Linked DNA regions of Mus musculus: all the other regions are reported to be linked to region 3. Evidence: microRNA targets listed by miRTarBase, many of them from high-throughput screens and not tested one by one. Region 3 holds a microRNA gene; each other region holds the end of a gene's coding sequence.
Evidence for each region. The annotated mature microRNA mmu-miR-411-5p reads UAGUAGACCGUAUAGCGUACG and lies in region 3 at 2,721-2,741, opposite strand. An mRNA with a match to its seed (bases 2 to 7 or 8) in the 3' UTR can be bound and repressed. Matches are read on the target gene's strand: a 7mer-m8 pairs with bases 2 to 8, a 7mer-A1 pairs with bases 2 to 7 and ends in A, and an 8mer does both.

Region 1: miRTarBase lists Atp8b1 as a target of mmu-miR-411-5p. Seed matches in the 3' UTR shown: 7mer-m8 at 3,640-3,646.
Region 2: miRTarBase lists Syt7 as a target of mmu-miR-411-5p. Seed matches in the 3' UTR shown: 7mer-m8 at 2,732-2,738.

The regions. Positions count from the first base shown.
Region 1 is chr18:64,526,730-64,533,461 of GRCm38, reverse strand. Atp8b1 (ATPase, class I, type 8B, member 1) reads left to right here. Exons shown (of 28, transcript NM_001001488.3): 28 at 1,898-4,483. The coding sequence ends at 2,122. Among named protein-coding and RNA genes, the nearest start is that of Nars, 14 kb to the right of the region's middle.
Region 2 is chr19:10,446,255-10,452,986 of GRCm38, forward strand. It overlaps Syt7 (synaptotagmin VII), which reads left to right. Exons shown (of 12, transcript NM_001373944.1): 12 at 2,086-5,363. The coding sequence ends at 2,190. Among named protein-coding and RNA genes, the nearest start is that of Lrrc10b, 7.8 kb to the right of the region's middle.
Region 3 is chr12:109,706,199-109,712,930 of GRCm38, reverse strand. Mir411 (microRNA 411) reads right to left here and starts at 2,756; the gene lies at 2,675-2,756. Mir379 (microRNA 379) reads right to left here and starts at 3,871; the gene lies at 3,806-3,871. Mir299a (microRNA 299a) reads right to left here and starts at 2,293; the gene lies at 2,231-2,293. Mir299b (microRNA 299b) reads left to right here and starts at 2,238; the gene lies at 2,238-2,286. It also overlaps Mir380, Mir1197, Mir323 and Mir758.

The DNA of each region.
Region 1 (6,732 bases), not on the chromosome of region 3:
CATCGTGATCGATCGTGAACCTTCAGACGTTTGTTCACACAGTGAAGCAGGTCTTGTCCCTTTGGTTTTACAGTTATCTTAACAATTTGCCATGCTAATGGTTTGGGCTTCTTTTCCCCTCCCCTTATTTTTTTAATTGATTATTTTATTTACATTCCAGACGTTGCCCCCCTCCCAGTCCCTGCTCCCACAGTTCTTTATCCAATTCCCCCTCCCCTTTGCCTCTGAGAGGGTGATCTCCTCTCTCCCCCCACCCACCCACCCTCCTTATTTAAAGCAAATATCATATCTGATAGTACAATCAATGTCTCAAAAACAGTGTAATGAGCCCCTTGCGTAATGATCAGCCGACTTCAGGCCCCGTTGTTGAGCAATTTAACATTGCTTTTCCCGTCACACTTCTGAAGGGAGTGTCTTCTTTATTAGTTTCATCTCATGCTGTAAGGTGGCCACAGCAGTTCCTGGCATCACATCGATAAATGGGGACAAGGCTTCCATCCTTTCCCTCAGGATCCTGGGAACTTTGAACGTGTACTTTTCTCAGATGTCATTTGTCAGAATTAGGCTGTACATTGAACTAATAGCCAACGAGATAAAACTCCCTCTCTTATGAAGAATGTCACTGTAGAGAGGAGAGGTGCTTACCTTTATAAATCGGCATTCTATGGTAAGGTGAGGGTGGATGTTAGCTAAGCAAGGGCCCAGGAGAACACTGTGACAGTGCTTGGTAAACAAGAGAAGAGATAGACCTCAGTTCTCTAAGTGCAAGAAAGAAGAACTTGAGTCTGGGTTCCAGCACACATACTAACAACTTCACCTGGCACCCTGCATCTCCAGATGTGGGGACAGGAGGATTCCTGGGGCTTGCTGGCCAGTGTCGCTGAATCTGTGGGCTCCTGAATTGATTCTATGACAAATCCTATCTCAAAAATTAGGGTGGAGGGGATAGAGGGAGACACCAGACATCCATCTCTAGCTTCTATAGTCATGTACACACATATACAAGCACCTGCACATATGAACACACACACACACACTGAGAGAGAGAGAGAGAGAGAGAGAGAGAGAGAGAGAGAACAAGAAAGAGAAAGACAGACAGACAGACTATGCTGTAACATGCCTTTGAGGTTTGTCAACACATACCAGTCTGCCCTGGGATTCACAAAGAATGTTAGCTTAGCAGCCTAGTTTGCTTTCTACTGCTCTGATAAATAGCATGGCCAACACAATTCGGGGAAGCAAAGGTTTATTTCATCATATGACTCCCAGGTCACAAGCTACCACTGAGGGAAGCCAGGGCAGAAGGTCGGTCAAGCAGGATCGTGGAGTCAGAAACTGAATCAAGAACTGCTGGAGGGGTGCTGCTCACTGGCTTGTTCTCTACGGCATGCTGAGCCTACTTTCTTATACTACCCAGAATCTTCTATTCAGGGGTGGAACCCTCACATTGGGCTGCGCCCTCCCATACCAACCACTAATCAAGATAATGCCCTATAGTCTTGCCTACAGGCCAATCTGATGGAGGCAGCTTCTTAATTAACATTCCTTCTCAAATGAATCTAGTTTGTGTCAAGTTGACAGGAAATAATGAAAAGTGCGAGGCTTGGTTTTCCTGGAACTTGCAATATAGACCAGGCTGACCTCCAAGATACCTCCATCTTTTGAGTACTGGAATTAAATGCCTGGCAATAGTTTTCCAAAATCTACCTGTAGGATAGTGGAAATAGTCCCCAACCCTCCAGACCCTTCATGTCCCGCTAGTCCAGAAAAGGGGGGGGGGCATTTGTGTGTGCATAAGGGTGTAAAGGCTCTCCGCGGGGCTAGCTTCTGCCCAGCTTCTATTGGCTAGGCGACCTGTGCATCTCAGATCTGTCTCTTCTTGGTTTTCTCTCTCCAGATCCAGAAGCATCGAAAGCGATTGAAGGCTGAAGAGCAGTGGAAACGGCGGCAGAGCGTGTTCCGGAGGGGAGTATCTTCCAGGCGCTCAGCCTATGCCTTTTCGCATCAGAGAGGCTACGCAGACCTCATCTCCTCTGGCCGCAGCATCCGCAAGAAGCGCTCGCCCCTGGATGCCATCATCGCGGATGGCACGGCTGAGTACCGGCGCACAGTGGAGAGCTGATTGGCATTGCTCTGCTGAGAGACCGGAGCGCTGGGAAGACGTTTTGTTTTTGTTTTTGTTTTTTTCTTTAATGAACGACTCAGGACCTTTTTAAAAACACAAACAAACTGAAGTTGTCACTGATGACAATAACCTTTTCAATAAACTTCTAGGATTGTGCTGTTAAGCAATCGCAAAGCCAAGACACCACCTGTTATTCAGCGGATTGTGTCTGCTGAGATTCAAAGGGAACTTTTTTTTTTTTAATCCTGGCCTAATGGAAGACGGCAGAGTTTAGAAAAGTCTCCCATTTCAGCTGGAAGGACACTACTACACTACAAAGTTACAATTACACTCTTCTCTCTGTGGCCTCAAATGTGGATTTCTCAGATGCACTCCCCCCTCTGCTTGTCATCTTTCAAAAGAAGAAAACAGAAAATCTGTTTTTAATGTATGGGTGCAGTAACAAAGGGTTGCTAATGTTTATCACCTGACAGGAAGTGGTTTAATGACTTTTTCAGACCTTGTTGGGGCTCCCTGTTTCTTTCTACCAACTTTCGAAATTTGAAACAAGTTTCCTTGATTGAATGATTTAGGTGCAACATTTCACTCTGGTTTTGATTTTACTACCAAGCTAAATAATGTATCCCATGTTTTTTTACTATTTGGTATTTCTCTGTACTACCAAGCGGTTTGACTCTCTACTTTAATTTTAAATTTTTAAAAATGACAAAAAAATATTTTTTAAAAGCTGAGGACATTATCAACTAGTATTAAGTACCATTTAGATAAGAGAAATAAATTGTGGCATCTCTTGCACCGTAAGGGATCATGATAATAGATCATGATAATGGAATGTGTGTTTCAGAAATGCTAGACGAAAGGGATTTAAATGTTTTCAACAAGAAGTGATAACTGAGAAATGGAAAAAATGTGATGTCAACTTTATACAATATACATGTGCTGAGGAACATGGCAGGCCACCTTGTGGCTTGGTGGCAAAGCTGGAGTCTTAGGTCCCATAGCAGTATAAAATGGAAGAAACATCACGTGATGTCCTATAAATAGACACAATTATGGATCACCTAAAATTGACTAGAAAGGGACAGGACTATGCCTACTGAAATTTTCCTTGTGGTTTCCTTTGGAAGACAACACTATTTAGCTCTTCCCAGTCACTGGATGGACTGGGAGGTTGCGGGGTGGGAGGGGAGAAACAAGAGCCTTGACTCTTAAGTGATGGGAACATTGTTACTACTGCCCACAACAGAGGAGAATAATACATACAAAGGTGTATCCAAACTGCTGCCGGTGGCCACATCCAGGCAAGGAGAACTATGAATATAGCCCAATACAAAAATGGTTAAAATTACTTAAAACACTAGGAAATTGTGTGTGTATATGCCCATGTGCAACTCCATTGCTTGGTCTTGAGTGTGAGCTTTCCTGGTAGTTTGTCCCACTGTCAGGAGCATAGACTTACCTGGTAGGGAGTCTGTGGAGAACTTTCCCCTGTGTTTCCTGGAAGTAAACGAGAGGTCTACTGTTCAGAACAGATAAGTTTAAACAAACAAACAAAAAGCCCAGAGGGCATCAGTGATACCTTTGGGAATATTTTGCAGAGTTCTCTGTTGAAAAGAAACTGCTTGTGTCCCCCTTCCCAGAAAGTATTTTATACAAGTCTTTTGGAGCCTCGCTCTTGCATCTGTCTTATGTCTAAGACAAAAAGAACAGTTTTTTCGTTTCGTTTTTGTTTTTTATTTTGGAAAAAACATTAGGTGATTAAGGAAAATATCCTTGAAAAGGTAACTTATTTTTCCCCCCAGGGGATTTTTCTCATTTTATTTCTTTCACAGAACAGTCCCCCTGCTCTACTGAAGGCCTCTGTGGGTTGTAGTAGGTAACTTTCTTTCCCCTTGCAAATGTTCATAGCAGTCTGTGAATTCCCAAGAGGAAATCATGTGTAGTTCATCTTCTATACACAGGACAGGAAAACATTAAATTGTACTTTTATAATGCATTGTCTAGATATGATGAAAGAATGTATGTCTATCTCCTAGAGGTAAATTTCTGAAAGTTTACAACTTTACCATGTAAATAAAAAGAATTGTATGTTTTCCTTTTTTTATGGAAAATTTAGCTTGTGTAATTTTGTCAATTTCAAGTTTCGCTTTTGTTTTTGTTTTTTTTGTTTTGTTTTTTGTTTTTGAATGGTGGGAAGGGTTGGCAATGCAAATGTGTCAAAGACTTACACTGCTGGGTGCAATATTAATAATTTAAAATGCAAATCATAAATTATTTCTATATGCTGTAAATCTGAGATTTAATGTATATTTTTGTTTAAGAAAATAAATGCTTTAGTAAAATATTTGGAACATGTCATTTTATATATGTTTATTTATGTCTGTATTGTGTGGTTATTTATTGGCAGTGCTGGGGATGTAACCCAGGGCCTTGTGTATGCTAGGCAAATGCACTCCTGAGCTGCACTTTCTAGTTTTAACACATGTTTCTAAGTGGGGTTGGTGGTGGTGTGTGTGTGTGTGTGTATGGATGGATGGATGGATGGATGGATGGATGGATGGATATAATAAGCCTTGTGTGTACCAGTGCCTGCAAAGACCAGAAAAAGATGTTAGCTCCTCTGAAGCTGGAGTTACAGATGGTTATGAGTTACCTGCTGTGGGTACTAGAAACTTCCTCCCTCATTCCCACTTGCCAACCTTTCTGCCAGGTATTCTACACGTATCTTATAGTTCAAGAACAGCAGCCCACTTCTCTTACTCTCCTTCTAAGGAACTGAGGGGAAAGAGGTGGAAGAACAGCAAGTGGCCTTAATGGCTAAGCTCTCTCTTCACACACACACACACACACACACACACACTAAGTTTTGTTCTTTATTGCCTTTGTAAGAATGGCATTCATATATCCTAGGCTTGTTTGAACTCCTCACATAGTCAAGAATGACCTTGCACTTCTGAGCCTCCTGTGACCACCTCCCTCCCAGTGCTGATGTTAGTATGTGCCACCACAGCTGGAACTCACTCTGTAGACCAGGCTGGCCTCGAACTCAGAAATCAGCCTGCCTCTGCCTCCCGAGTGCTGGGATTAAAGGCGTGGCCACCACAGCCATAGCTGCTTTTATTCAGTGTTGGGATTTAAGTCTTCCTGGATACTCACCAGAGCACCCTGGTGAGTTATCTATGTAGCTCCCCCCCCCTTTTTTTTCTGTTGCTGCTGCTGTGGTTTATTTTGTTTTGTTTTGTTGCTTTTAAGTGTGGAGTACATGGCAGGAGAATCTAGTCCCGAGACGGTTCCTGAAACGTGTAGAGCTCCTCTGGCTATAAGAAATAATGCTAGAGACTGTACAACATATAAGAGATGTGGCTGAGGGAGGTGATTAGACTTTCAAGGAAGAGGGACTAGCCATTTCAGGGTAAGACAACGTCTACTGCTCCAGACCTCTTCCTCTCAGTTCCTTAGAAGGAGAGTAAGAGAAGTGGGCTGCTGTTCTTGAACTATAAGATACGTGTAGAATACCTGGCAGAAAGGTGGGCAAATGGAAATGAGTGAGGAAACTCAGTCCATATCGGAGCTGCTGCAAAGATGAAGTGTGAAGACTTCCGTGTAGCACGGGGTGGGGGGAGGAGAGGGAGGGTCAGCCCTAGAAGCATGGGACGATGTGACTCACCAGCAAAGTGTGGTTGGTTGTGCTACCAGGAAAGAGATCCCCTGGTGAGGACCTCTCTGGGAGTTATGGTTGCAGTGGGTGAAGAGAGGCTGTCACCAGGCTGTGGGTGTGTGGGGTGATAGGAAAGGGGCTGGTTCTAGCTTCCTCAGTAGACAAAGTATAAGAAGAGCTGGGCAGCTAGTAAAGCACCAAACGGTAGAGTTGGTTCAGGGATATTTTTAACTCAACAGCACCACCTAGAGGAAAGTAGTCACATCCTACGGCAGATGCTGCTCTGGACTGTCATCTGATGGAGATGAAGTGTGATAGTCAAATGTACCCCAGTGGAATCCAAAGACGTTTCAAGAGGCGCTGCCTTCCTGTGGCGCTTAGGAAAACTGCAAAACGGCTTCTAAAACTCCTGTCATTATCCACTAGCAAGTTACGGCTGCAATACAGATTCTGGTGCAGTTATAAAACAAAAGGCGGGCTGGTGAGATGGCTCGCGACTGTTCTTCCAAAGGTCCTGAGTTTAAATCCCAGCAACCACATGGTGGCTCACAACCATCCATAACGTAACGAAATCTGATGCCCTCTTCTGGAGTGTCTATTTACATATAATAAATAAATAAATAAATATTTAAAAACAAAACATATTTAAAAACAAAACAAAAGATACTTCGAGATATGGGGGGGGGGGGGGGATGGAAGTTGGGATGCCAAAACAAAGCAGGCAAGAAGTAATTCTCTAGGGAACTGGAGTGATGGCTCGGTGGTTAAGAGCACTCGCTGCTCTTCCAGGGGACCCAGGTTTGATTCCCAGCACCCACATGGCAGCTCACAGCATCTGTATCTCCATCCCTGAGGGACCTGAGGCTTTCCTCTGGCTTTCACAGACAGCAGGCATGCAAGTGGTACATAGACGTGTGTTAAATGAATTGGGTTTTTAAAAAAGAATTGT
Region 2 (6,732 bases), not on the chromosome of region 3:
ATTCAAACCCCAACAATGGTGTTTGGAGAAGGATGGTCTGGCATCTGCAGAGAAGGAGCCACTCTGGAGGCATTCCCTAGAAAGATGAAAAGGAGAAACTAGTTGTTGGGGAGAGAAAAGCAGCTAGCCTTGTGGAAGAAAGCTGGCCCTGGGAGTATTATTCAGCCAGCCAGTGGGCACAGGTATGGAGACTAGAGTGTATGCTGTGAGCAGGGCCCACTGAGCTCCCTAGAGGCCCTTGCAGCCATGCTACAACTCTGCTTTATAGAAGTAGATGTTCTTGGGGGGTACTTTAGCTTCCTTTACCAGACCAGCCTTCTGTGGGCCAAACCAAGTCAAAAATGTTTTTTTTATAATGTTAGTTTTTACATTGTTCTTTTTTTTTTTCTTTTAAGTTTTATTTATTTATTATATGTAAGTACACTGTAGCTGTCTTCAGACACTCCAGAAGAGGGCGTCAGATCTCGTTACGGATGGTTGTGAGCCACCAATGTGGTTGCTGGGATTTGAACTCTGGACCTTCGGAAGAGCAGTCGGCGCTTTTAACCACTGAGCCATCTCGCCAGCCCCCAAAAATGGTTTTGTTCTTGCTTCGTCCTGGGATAGTTTAGGAAGCCCAAGGACCCTGGAACCTTTCTGAATCACAGGCCCAGCTCAACTCCTGGAGACTGGGAATCTGGCCTTGTTCCAGGCTATGGTACCAAGCTGGGCTGACATTGCAAAAGCAAGTAGGCACGAAGGAGCACTTGGCTGTGACCTGTGGCGGTGGTAGTAGTGGTGATGGTGGGATAGTGGGGTGGAGCATTTAGTGAGCCTCAGAGTGAGACTGAGAACTTAGTCCAGCGAGGGCAGCAGACACACGCCACTTCCAGCTGTCTGTAATATCAGTGTCTATTATCAGTCAATTGGCTCAGAGGAGTCTGAGTTGCACAGAGGAGCCTTGAAGCTGAGAAAGATATTCCACCCCTGCATAGGGCTTGCTCATTTTGTCTTGGTGTTTTATCGTTTGTTTGTTTTGACAGGCTCTTGCTTTATAGCCCAGGTTGGCACTCAAACTCACTATGTACCTCCAGGGTGGCCTCCTACTCATAGCAATCCTTCTGCCTCAGTGTGAGAACTTTAGGTATGAGAATTTTAGGTAGTAATACCTGATGTTTAAATGTACATAAAAGTAGGAAATGTAATATGGTGTATCCATATCCCTCTTGCCAATGTCCTCAATTGCTAGCCCCTCACAATGTATCTGTCACAGCTTAAGGAACTGACATGGGACCTTGCTGTGAACCTGTCAGACTTCATTTGCATTTGGCCAGTTCTTCCACTAATGCCCCAGGCCTGCTCCTGGATCCAGTGTTAGCTAGCACGTTGTACTCTGTCGTCAAGGCCCCCAGGCTCTATGACCTGTGACAGTTTTTTGCCCTATGAGTTGTCATCTTGATGGCCTTAAGGTGCCCTGGCCAGGATCTTGCAACACTGTCCGCTTTTCTTCTAATGCCCCTGGTCTTAAGCATTCCTGGTGTCTAGGCCAGGCTCAGCTGAGACTGCTTTGGGAGTTTCTGGGGCAGCCCTGCAATGTTGCAGGGCCCTTACAAGAGCCTAGGCTGCATTGGCAGTCTAGAAGCACCAAGACTTTCCTTATACCATTTTGAACTTTTAAACTATGACTGAAGGTAAGACTCTTAACTCTGTGTGTTTTCCCATCTGAAAACTGGGGCTAATCTGGTAGTTTGTTCACCTGCCAGGTTTGGAAGCACACACTGACCTCGAGATATATAGCCCCCAGTACAAAGTCAGGGGCGGGGCCAGGAAATGCAGGGAGATGGGAGAGACAATAACAATGGTGTCCCTTCCTAGGTCAGGGAAGATTGCCCCAGCCAAATGCCTGTATCCTGACCTTCACTGCAAAATAGGTAACAGTTTGATGTCAAAGGGCCAGGCATGCCCAGGCCCTTGAGGGATAGCAGTCAGGAAACTAGGTCAGGCTGGCAGGAAGGGAAAGGGGCAGCCTCTGTGGGCCAGGCTGTTACTATGGGACAGGGCCCAAGCCTCAGAGCCTGCCATTACGCATCTTCTCTTCCTCCCCAGATCTACCTGTCCTGGAAGAGCGGACCAGGTGAAGTGAAACACTGGAAGGACATGATCGCTCGTCCCCGGCAGCCTGTGGCCCAGTGGCACCAGCTGAAAGCCTGAGTGGGGCCAAGGGAGGCTCCAAGGGCCAAGGCCTGGCTCCCCATCATGCCCCTACCACTTTATGCACAATGCCCAGCCCGGCACCCCTGCCATGGTGAGGGGAGACCCCGAGGGCTCAGCCAGGGAGGGGTACCAGAACTCTACTGGGCCCCATTTCTAGGAAGTACCAGCCCCACCCCATGAGTCCAGCTCAGGGGTGGGGGCTTGGGAGCCATTCCCTGCTTTGCCTCTTTCTTTCCTGATTTGCTGATACTAAAGACGTGGGGGAGAGCTCAAGAGCCAGATGGGCAGATCCCTCCAGAGGCCCGCCAGGTGGGCATAGCCCCCGTTTTCTTTAAGGCAGTGCCTGGAGTGGAGAGAAGCCACCCCTTCCCTAGATCCCCTTTTTGGGGCCCAGAAGAGGAAGGCCGAGGCGTTTGGCCACGGCCTGGTCATCAGGCCCATCCCCAGCTTCAGGTGCCGGCTGGGCCCTGGACACTGAGGATAGTATATAGCCTGTGCTCCAGAGTCCTGGAGATGTGGCCCTGTGTATTTGTGTTGTGTCTACTGTGTGTGTGTGTGTGTGTGTGTGTGTGTGTGTGTGCCCACATGCGTGTACACATGTGCACCTGGAAGCTCATGCGCACGTGTGGGAAAGGGGGAGCTCACTCCCTATCGCCCTGGGACCAGCAGTGCTGATTGGCTATGGAAAATAGCAGAGTTTCGTGAGGATGAAGTAGGGCTGGGTCAGGTAGAGGTCAAGGCCACAGGGAAGGTAGGAGAGGAAGGGTATGGACGGCTGAGAAGAAGTGGGGACCAGGGCAAATGGCTGTTTCAGCTGCCTCCTGGCACCCACTTTGCCTGTCTCTGTAGCCCCCACCCCCACAATTCCCCAGTAGCAACTCTCTACTGCAATGTCGTCCCTTGGGCCTGGGCTCACACTTTGTAGGCACCTACTCACCGTGTGCATGGCCTTCCAACAGGGCACCACTCCCATCCTTCTCAGGCATTCCTAACCCCTCGCCCAGGGACCCCCACCTTTCCAAATCTCATTTTGCAGTCAAATTGGCATCTGCTCCACACTCTGGCTTGGATATAGCCCCCGATCCCCACCCCTTGCCCCGACACCTCCACCTTTTCTTTGCATAATCTGATCAACCCCTGGCCTTCTCCAGGCTGTCTTGACACATACCCCACCCCCACCCCTACCCCCACCCCAGAGTAGCAGCTCTTTCTGCCCCTCCCACCCACCACGCAAGCAGAGGAAGCGGGGAGCATTCCAGGAGTCTGAAGTTGCCATACCCAAAGAAGCTGTCGTCCCTTCTCCCCGCCTCTGCTGAGACTAGAACTGGCTTCCCTTTGGAAATAGCAGACTCCAGAATGATCCCTCTTAAGTCCTGTCGTCCCTCTGTGCTGTATTGAAAAGACCCAGCTGGTGAAAGAGCCTCAAAACCAATTCAGAGACTTGAGCCCAACATACCCTAATTCTACCACCAGGTGGCACCAGAACACCACATCTATGGTAGCAGTTGGGGACCATAAATACAGTTCTACCCTGACTGGCACCTTGACACCCCAAGGATGGAAGGGGCTCTGGACTGCATCTGCTTATCTAGAGCACAGTGGGAACACAGTTATGTGGGCACAGTTTCCTTCAGTGGGCTTCCCCTTAAGCTCACCCTTCTGCTCTAGGTGGGAGATCTCCTTTTGTCCATAGCAAAATGTCCTTAAATCAGATTTCACACCCTGTCCCCAGGGACCTGGAGGAATCCCTTATGTAGTAGGTGAATCATTCGTAGAGTGAATAATTCCATTGTAAAACAAATAGTTACCCATATTACTTGTAAATCTAAATGTTTGTATACTACAGCTTTTGCTTTAAATAGGACCATCCCCAACTCCCTTGCCCAGCTGGGTGTAACCCCAGGAAAGGGACCCTCCCAACTCCCTGCAGAGGCTGTGTGGGAACAGAAGAGGGTAATGTAGAAAGTCTGGAAACTCGAGAGAAATCGCTGCCATCCTTCCTTCCATCTGCCTCAGTCTCCTGAGTGCTTCCACCAAGGCATCCGAGGGGCCCGAGCAACCTGCACCAGCAGGTGTAAAGTTGGCAGCGGGTTTATGCAGAGCGTGCTCCTGCACCTCTTAGCCAGTCAGCTCAGCATCCCCCCACATAGCTGTTCTCCCCTCAGACTACTAGGAATAGTAGTGACCCAGCCTGGGTGGAGGGGTGGGGGGGCCAGCCAGACCTTGCAAACAGTGGGTGGAGAACAGAGTGGGTTTGCACAGGGTGCAGCTGGATGACACAGAGGCTGGGCATAAGATGTTAGGGCAACTGGGGGAACATGGAAATGGGGGGGAGGGACTTGAGGGTGAGGAGGGCACCAGAGCTCTGCCACCACTGTCCTAGGATCTTGGGCAAGTCACCCACACTCCCTGGGCCTCAGTTTCTCCATCTGTAAAATGATGGTAATAATACTTCACCTACCTCATGGGGGAGGTTGTGAGGCCACCATCACCTGACCTAGGGGGTCAAGGCAGGAGGGCTCTGAAGGTGCTACCCAGAGCAAAGTTGTCAGTGAGGCCTGAAAGCAAGGCCCACCTGCCAGTCCACCCTACCCCACAGAGCCTCTAGGGACCGCCAGAGCCAATCTGTCTCTTCACTGTGTCCCCACCCCCTTTATGAGCGTCATCTGACATCTTGTGGGCACCCTAGACTTAGTTGTTACATTGTTTAGGTAGCTTTTCTTGTGATCATCTTCTCTGTGTAACTGCTATACAAATTCCACCTGCCCCAGCACACCCCTCCACCTGCCCTCCAGCACCAGAGGCCAGGGAAGGGACAAAGGAAAACAGCCACAAAAGAAAAAAAAAAAAAAAAAAAGCCAAGGGGACTCCCAGCTCAGCTGGGGCCCCCAGGGGTGGGAACTGGTGGCGCTGTTTGTATTGTGTTTGAGTCCTTGAGCGCAAGTGTTTTATAAAAAATAAAACAAAAATCCACTATCACAAAAAAAGAAAAAAAATACAGCAAAGAGAACTGAAGACAAAAGGGAAAAAGAACCATACAATTTTTTTCCACCATATGCACCCTCTAAGCCAGCAAAATTTTCCTCTTTGCAAAATCATATTTTTGTGGGAATGGGCCCTGCTTTTTGTGGCAAGGCCTGTTCTGATTAATAAAGGATCGTGAAAAAGTAGGGCCTTGGCTGTTTCCTCTGTGGGTCCCAGCCCTCTCTCTCTCTTCTTCCAGGGGAAGCAACAGCTGGGATTGGAGGGACTGGGGAGTCTTGGGGGTGTCTCCACTCAGCTTGTCACCTGACACTTGACTTTTCATTGTGGCTTGGGCCTGCTGGAGCTGCCCGCTCACTCTCAGATCAAGACTAATCCCTACAATTCACCAGCTGCCCCAAAGTAGAGAATATTGCATGCCCCAGGTCAGACCTAAAGTCATCTCAGAAGTAGTGGGATCTCCCTGAGATCGCCAAGACCTCCCTTGGAGTCCAGCCTCACCATCACCTGCTCAGCTTCTATGACTTGGGGCCAATGTCTCCTTCCAGGTCCTGGCAGGGGAAAGAAAGGTAGTCTGAGCTCTAGGTCAGACTGCTGAATCTGTGGCCTTTCTCCAATCTATTGTCTAGGCTGATTCTCTATGGTTGGGGAAAAAAATCTCTCCAATCTAAAGAGCCCCATCGGCAAGTTCCAAGCTGAGGACCTGAGAGACTCCGGTGCCCTCCTGTATGTGGCTCTGGCAAGCCATGCCCTTTGCTGTGCTCTCAATGTCCTCTATTCACAAAGAAGCAATAATTTTCCAGCCACTCCCTGCTCTGTCCAGGGCAGCTGGCCTGCCAGTTCTCAGGGTACTGCAGAAGGCCAATCATATCTGCTTCAGATAGGCACTAAGGGGACCCCATAATTCCATGGGCCCTGCCCCACTCTGAAGTGAAGAGGGTCACATACCCTCTGTCCCCCACATCTGGGACCAGCAGCTGCCTCCTTAATCTGTACTAAGTACCCTCATTCTGAAGCAGCCTGCCCTTTCCCCTCTACCCCTTAACTTCCTAAGTGTAGTTTAGACATCCCTTTTAAAAGGTGTATGCAGGCTAGGGTATAGCTCAGAGGTACAGCTCCTGCCCTAGTGTGCACAAGCACCTGAGAGGGGATAAAACAGCTTCTGTTGGCTTCTATTCCAGAAGTTCGAGGGAGTCCTGGGGTCAGGTAAGTAGCTTCAGGCTCACCCTGGGTTTTGTTTAGCTTTTCTTTGGGAAAACAAGCCCAAGAAACAGTTTTAGCATAGTTGGTTCAGCACAGCAGAGGTGCCAGACCCTGACCACTGGCACAGGGCCTCTACCCTGGACTTCTCTGGCTCACTCCCTCTGCCTGCTCTGAGCTACTCACGCATCCCTTCACGTGCCTGAGAGAGACCACTGTCCTTCTCCCGCAAGTCCCTCCCAGATGCACTACTTCTAAAGGTCTCTCTGGCCTTTCTGGATGCTGGGCTCTCCTCTCCTTCTCTGAGAAAGACAGCTGAAGGATAATTCGAACATGCTTGACGCTCCATCCTGAGCT
Region 3 (6,732 bases):
AAAGTTGAGATCTCTTCCAGGAAGTTCTCCAAGGGAAGGTTAGATACTGAGGGTTAGTGGACCAGGTCACAAACGGCACAAATATAGCGTGTGCTCTCTGGTCAACCACCTCACGCACCCACACGTGTATCACATGTCGATGCCACTTTCCTGGTCTGCAAGTCACCCTGCCCACGAAGCTGCCAAGCCAGAGAAATTTGCTGAGAAGAAGGCTGCCACACAAGAGTTATTGTCAGACACAAGAAAAGACAAACCCGCTGGCTGGGTTGCGCTAGCACACACATTTAGTGTCCCCACCCCACAGCTGGTGTTAGCTCCAGGAAAGCTCGCAAGGCGGGATTAGATACCGCAAAGAGGTCGACCGTGTAATGTGCGCCATAAATGAAGCGAACGCGCCACGGACCACCTCTCTCCAAGTACCAAGCAGCAGCAGTAGGAAGACCGGGACACTGGCTCTTCCTCAAAGCAGATGTCACCTCCTGGAAGTCTTCCAAGGCGAGATGTGATATTGAGAAGAAGTAGACCATGTGTCCTACGTCATAAATAAAGCGTACACACCATGGTCAACCGCATCTTCAAATACCTTGAGGTAACGCTGGCTGATTCCAGCTCACTTTACTTAATTTGGTGTTACCTCCAAAATGCCTTCTCAATGAGTGTCACAAACTACCAGCAATCGGCATGTGTGGCAATGGCCACAAACTCATGTTTAATGCCACTATGACTTCCAGGATGCCCTGTAAGGCTGGGCTGGGTGCCAAATATTGGCTTTGGATCAAATGGCCAGAGTCGTAGGTAATGAACATGGCCTGTAGCCAAGCACTGGGTAATCTGTGTTGGATAGGGTCTGCCGCCTGAGCCCTACTCTCAATTGGTATGGCTTTCAGAAAGCCCCTGGTGACCGGCTGATGCAGAGATGTGGTGGACCATGCTGTACATGCTGGAATTAACGCACACACTCGACAGTCTACCATCTCCCCAAGTACTGTGCTGAAGCCAGGACAGGATATCTCCCATGAAGTTGGCTCGGTCTCTGGAAAACCCTCACGAATGACTTTGATAACGAGAAGATGTGGACCATACTACATACGACACAGAAGTAGCGCATGTTCTATGGTCAACCATCTTTTCAGGTACCATGGAGAGAGGGTGGTGCAGGAGCTGGCTTCTTTCCTCATGATTATCACTTCCAGGAAACCCTAGATGCAATGTTGAAAAGAGACCACCATGCATTGCCTGCTGCAGATGCAGAGAATATAGCAAAGAGAAGTTTGCAAGGACGCGAAGAGAAGACCCCGTAACTAGCACTGTGCCTTTAAGGAAATATTGTTCACAGGAAGCCCCCAAGGCGCATTCACTATTATGGGAAGGTGGACCAAATTAACATGCGCTGTAAGTAAAGCAAGAAGCATGGACAACCTCTACCCCAAGGCATTTGTCCTTCTGCCTTGCCCCCCCACCCCCAAGGTTAATGGGGCCTCTTTGGAAACCTTCAAAGCTGAAGTTGATATTGAAAAGAGTAGGCCAGGTTACAAATGGTGTTAATAATACACATGCAGTTTGCTTGATCCCTCTTCAGGTACCGTGAGGTCATTGCTGATGCAAGAACCAGAGCCCTGTCTCTGAGGCTAGCAGCATCTTCAGCAAGTTCTCCAAGGCTGGGCTGGAGGTAAGAAGAAGTGAGCCAAGAAGCAACTTTGATCTGTAAGCATACATGGAGGAGCCAGGCTGGGTCATCTTCCTCTAGAAGGCTAGACTTGATATGGAAAAAAAGATACTATATACGAAGCATCAGTGGAAACAGGGACTGTGTCTTCATGCATCTGTCTTTGCACTGTATCATGTAGCCCTAGCTGTCCTTCTATGGGCATAATGTCTTGAAGGCATCTGATGATAGCTTTGCAGATGATGAAAACACGCAGCATCCCTTGATGATGAGCATCTGTGGAGCTAATTGCCACTTTTTCAAGTCCTAAGGAGGGAGGGAGCATGCCCAGTTGGGATGTAGGACACCTTCCTGGAGGTTGTCATCATCCTTGAAGAAGCCCTTAAGGGCTGCACTGAAGCTGACAGGAACACCTTGCCACATGAATTAACAGAGAAAGCACACAAAAAGCAGAGGGATGTTTGGCCAAGCAGCCCGATGTAGAGAGCAAGCCAAAACAACGTTTCTTCTCTCACTTCAGGCTTGCTCGAGGATGGTATGGACTGGATGGCTGGGCTGGATACCAAGAAGCGGTTTACCGTCCCACATACATACTCAAAATGTATGTGGGACGGTAAACCATTTCTTCAAGTACCGCGTGACAGCAAGGACAGCTGTAAGAAGGTTCATGTCTGCCAGGTTGCCTCAGGACACCTCTTCAGGGATGGTGTTGAGAAGAAGCAGGTCATGGAGTCTACTAACCAAGAGTCGCCTAGACACCCCTGTCACTGAGGTCACGAAGAGCACTGATCCCAGAAAGCTTTGTGGTCTCCTCCCCAGAGATGGCAAGAGTTCCCAAGGCAGAGCTCAGCAGAGGAAGGGGGAGATTATGTCATTTCCCATCATGCAGGAAAGAACACACGCCATATTGAAAACCATCTCTTCCAGCATCATGGAGAAGCCCTGATGATGAGTCTACTGGCGTCTCCCCGAAGACAGCATCTTCTCCAGGGGCCTCGGGGATGGATTTGATACTGAGGGTTAGTGGACCGTGTTACATACGTCACAGATAAAGCGTACGCTATACGGTCTACTATCTCTCCAAGTACCACACAGAGACGCCGAGGACAAAGGCTGAGGGCACGTCCAGGAAGCCCTCTGGGCCATTGAGCTGGTGGAATCTTGAGTCTGGCTGGGCACAAAGCATGCATCATGCGGCAGGCACACAAAAGCCAAGAGTCTCATCTTCATGTCAGGTTTGACACCAGCAACTCATCCCCAAAATCGGCAGCTCTTCCAAAAGCTCATAAAGGTTGCAGACAAACGATGCTGTGGGGGTTACTACTCCACAAATGCTGCTGAAGTGCCTACCGGGTGCTGAAGGAATGGGCACTCAGGGACAGTAGGCATAAGGGCATGCACGGCAGGGGGCTAATGTGCAGGAGTGGTGCCAAATTAGGAAAGCCAAATATCCTGTACGCAATAAAAAAACAAAGATGACCTGGCTAGTTAAAGCAGGCCAAGCACATGGATCAGGGCATTGGAAGCCCTGCCCTATCTCCTTGTGAGACCAAATCATAACCATAGGAAAAGGGTGCCACCAGAAAAAAAAAGACAATGGCACATCTGTTTCAATCAAAGGCAGTTCCAGGAAGCCTTCTAAGGCATAGTGAACTTTAAAAAAAAAAAAAAAAAAAAAGGTATTATTTGGGTCAACCATCTCCCTAAACTCAAAACTACTATTTCATCCCCACTTGGCACTGCCACTAAAAACCCAACTGAACTGAGGCTGGACTTGAACTTGAGAAGAGGTAGATGTTAGCATTTCCTCAATGCTCAGAGCAGGGTAGATGCTAAACAGGTAGGTCTCCCTTGAGGGAAAATGGGCTCCACAAAGCCTCCAGAGCTGGCTGGTTTGGAGATGTCCCATAGACATCTCATGCATTTCACATGGAAAGACCATGTCTTCGGGTCCTAGGACTCAAGCTCCCAAAAGTCTCCTAGAGGGCTCACTGGGGGCCCAGAAGATGGTGGTCTTGCTGTAGATCAGATATCAGCCATAGCAACTGAAAGTACACGGAGTGGGTGAGGATGAACCGATTCTCTTCCTCGCTGTTGGTAACACCTCCGGGGTGCCCTCCGAGGATGGATTGGATACTGAGAGTTAGTGGACCATGTTACATAGGTCAAAAACATAACGCCTACGTTCCATAGTCTACCATCTCTTCAGGAACCATGGAACGGTGTTGACCCCTAGAAACTTGGGCCTTGTCCCTGAAGCTGGCGTCACTTCCAGAAAGCTTTTCTGAGGCCTGATTTGGCAGTGGGAAGCAGATGTGGTGAACAACACACCCTCCTTGAATGGTTGCACGGTGCTGAAAGAGAGGCGGCACCTCCCCCCTCAGGTAGTACATTACCAGATGAAGGCCACACTAACTCAGAAAAATGAACCACTGTGCTGACTATATTCTAACCATTTTGATCTTAGTCTTGGTCAAACTGAAGGCCAATGGTCAGCTTGTCTCAACAAAGGGGACACCACAATGGCATAGATCACCATGTGAAAGACCTCTAGTTGTGAAAGACCTGCCATGTACCAGATATGTAGACATAAACTCAAGGCTCAGAGGACAAGTACTTCCAAAGTTCATAGTGAGAACCCTCCCCTCTGATGGTACCTTAATGGGTATAAAACTATGAGACTTTATAGTCTCCAGGGAAGCCCAAGGGAGGTTCCTGGGTATGAGCATCTATCAAGGACTTAGAGACCAGTGTCTACTGGGCCACATCCCTGCATGCTACCTCTGAATGGTCCTCAGGTCATCTTCAGTTTATTTCCTGTTTCCAAATGGGTGAGTCAATTCTAAACCCCATGTGGTGTTTTGCTCAGTCCATACTTTCATAATGGCAAGAGCATCATTGCTTATATCATTCTCAAATCAAACAACTGGCTGCCTCTTCCAAAGTTCCGTATTATCCCATCAAGTAGCTGCCTAGCCTGCCCCAACCAGCCTTATGCCATAGACCTATGCCTCTCCTCTAGCCCAATGACTTTCCATGGGTTCCATCTTGACCATGAAACATCTGCAGGGCATGCAGTCAGAGCAAAGAGACACCATGCTATGCCTTCCAGTAGACTCCAACTTAGCAGGGAAAACTCCCATGAAAATGAATTCTAGAGAAGATGGACTTCAAGAGGCAAAGGCTAAAGAGGTCCAAAGGAATAAAAGTGTATTTGCAAGATCTGGGAGACTTCTGCCAAGTTTTGAGGAGAGGAGGATGAAAGAAAGGATACAGAGAGTAAGGGCAGATGAGAGTAAGCAGTGGCCTGAGTAAAGAGAGGAGAAGAGAGGAGAGGAGAGGAGAGGAGAGGAGAGGAGAGGAGAGGAGAGGAGAGGAGAGGAGAGGAGAGGAGAGGAGAGGAGAGGAGAGGAGAGGAGAGGAGAGGAGAGAGGATGGGTGAGAGGAAGGAGGGGGAGGGGAGGGGGGAAGAGAGGGAAGGGGAGGGAGGGGAGGGAAGGGGAGGGGGAGAAGAGAGGGAAGGGGAGGGAGGGGAGGGGAGGAAGAGAGGGAAGGAGAGAGAGGGGAGGGGAGGGGAGTCAGACTGAGACAGAGTGGGGATTGAGGAGCCCATCATGCTGTCCAGAGCATTTCTGTGATGGGGATGAAGCAGGTGGAACCAGAAGTAAGCCTGGTGGAGCACAGGTCATACAAGGCTTTCTAACAATGGTGAAAGTCCTTGAACTTTACCTTGGGACCAAAGGGAAGATACTCCCAGTTGGTAAAGGTCATAGTGAGTTGCATTTTGGTAGCAAGCGCAGGTGCAAAGAGCAAGAGCTCAAGAGGGAAAATGAAAACCAGGTAGCAAAGAAGTCACAGACATGGAGCAGAGAGGACAGGGTTGAGATCCCAGGAGGAAAAACCAGGGTATCCCAGTGTAGGTGTGGGGTGGCAGGTGGTAATTAAGTAAGTGTTCAGAGAAATGCATACATGCACCCACGCGCGCGCGCGCACACACACACACACACACACACACGCACGCACGCACGCACGCACGCACGCACGCACGCACACGCACACGGGGGGGGGGGGGAGACAGAGAGACACAGAGAGACAGAGACACAGAGAGACAGAGACACATAGGGCTGGTGGAGGGGGGCATTTGGGCGGCCGGCTTGCTACAGGCAGTAGAGTCAGGTTGAGATTAACTTCACAGTGGGTGGAGCCTTAGGCACAGGTGAGCGTTCAGAAGAGAGGCTGCTCCCATGCACAGGGGTCCATTTAATGGGAATGGTGGCAGGGAGCCAAATATGTGAGTTCTGCAAAGCTGCCAAGAGGGAAGGGAGCTGAAACAGGTTGTTGAAAGATCTAAGGATGAAGGAACTCACTAGAGTACTGTAAGAAGTGAAGGGTAGTTGACAACAGAATGGAGAAGTGTGTAAGATTCTAGAAGAGATAGAGGGTGGGGTGGAAGCTCAGAGCCCCATGCCATTGGGGTGGGGGAGGCACAAAGTACTCCAAGAAACAAAGGAACAATGGGATGAGGCTGAGGTAGGAAGTCCCTGTTCAGAAAGCATTAGAGGAAAAGTCACCGGCATCTTCCTCTTGTTTTAGGGACAGAAAGTGCATCTATGGTCCTCAGATCTGCAATCCTGTGCTAAGCACAGAGTACACATGCATGCCACAGTGTAAGATGAAAGGAAGAGCGAACGCCAAATGACGAAGCCAGATTCTCAAGAGTGCCTGGAGAGCTGAGCTTTCTGCCTATAGCCCTACACCCTTGAGCCAGCTTGGTCTGAAACATCTCCATCCAGTCTGGCTTTTCTCATCTCCCTGGCTCAGGCTCTCATCCATCTCTCTTCTTCTGTTCCCCCAGGTACTCCCCTCCCCTAAGAATCCACTTTGACACATGGTCACAGGCTTGAGCTTTGCCCTCATGTGCAGATTCTCAGTCTCTGTAGATTCTCAACACGCGATTACACATGTCTAACTAATGCCAAAGTGGCTGGCTCCGTTCTCCCATCTTTCAGCATACAATGTAGATGACTAAGAAATGTGAGAGATGGACAAGAAATCAGGACGTTTGC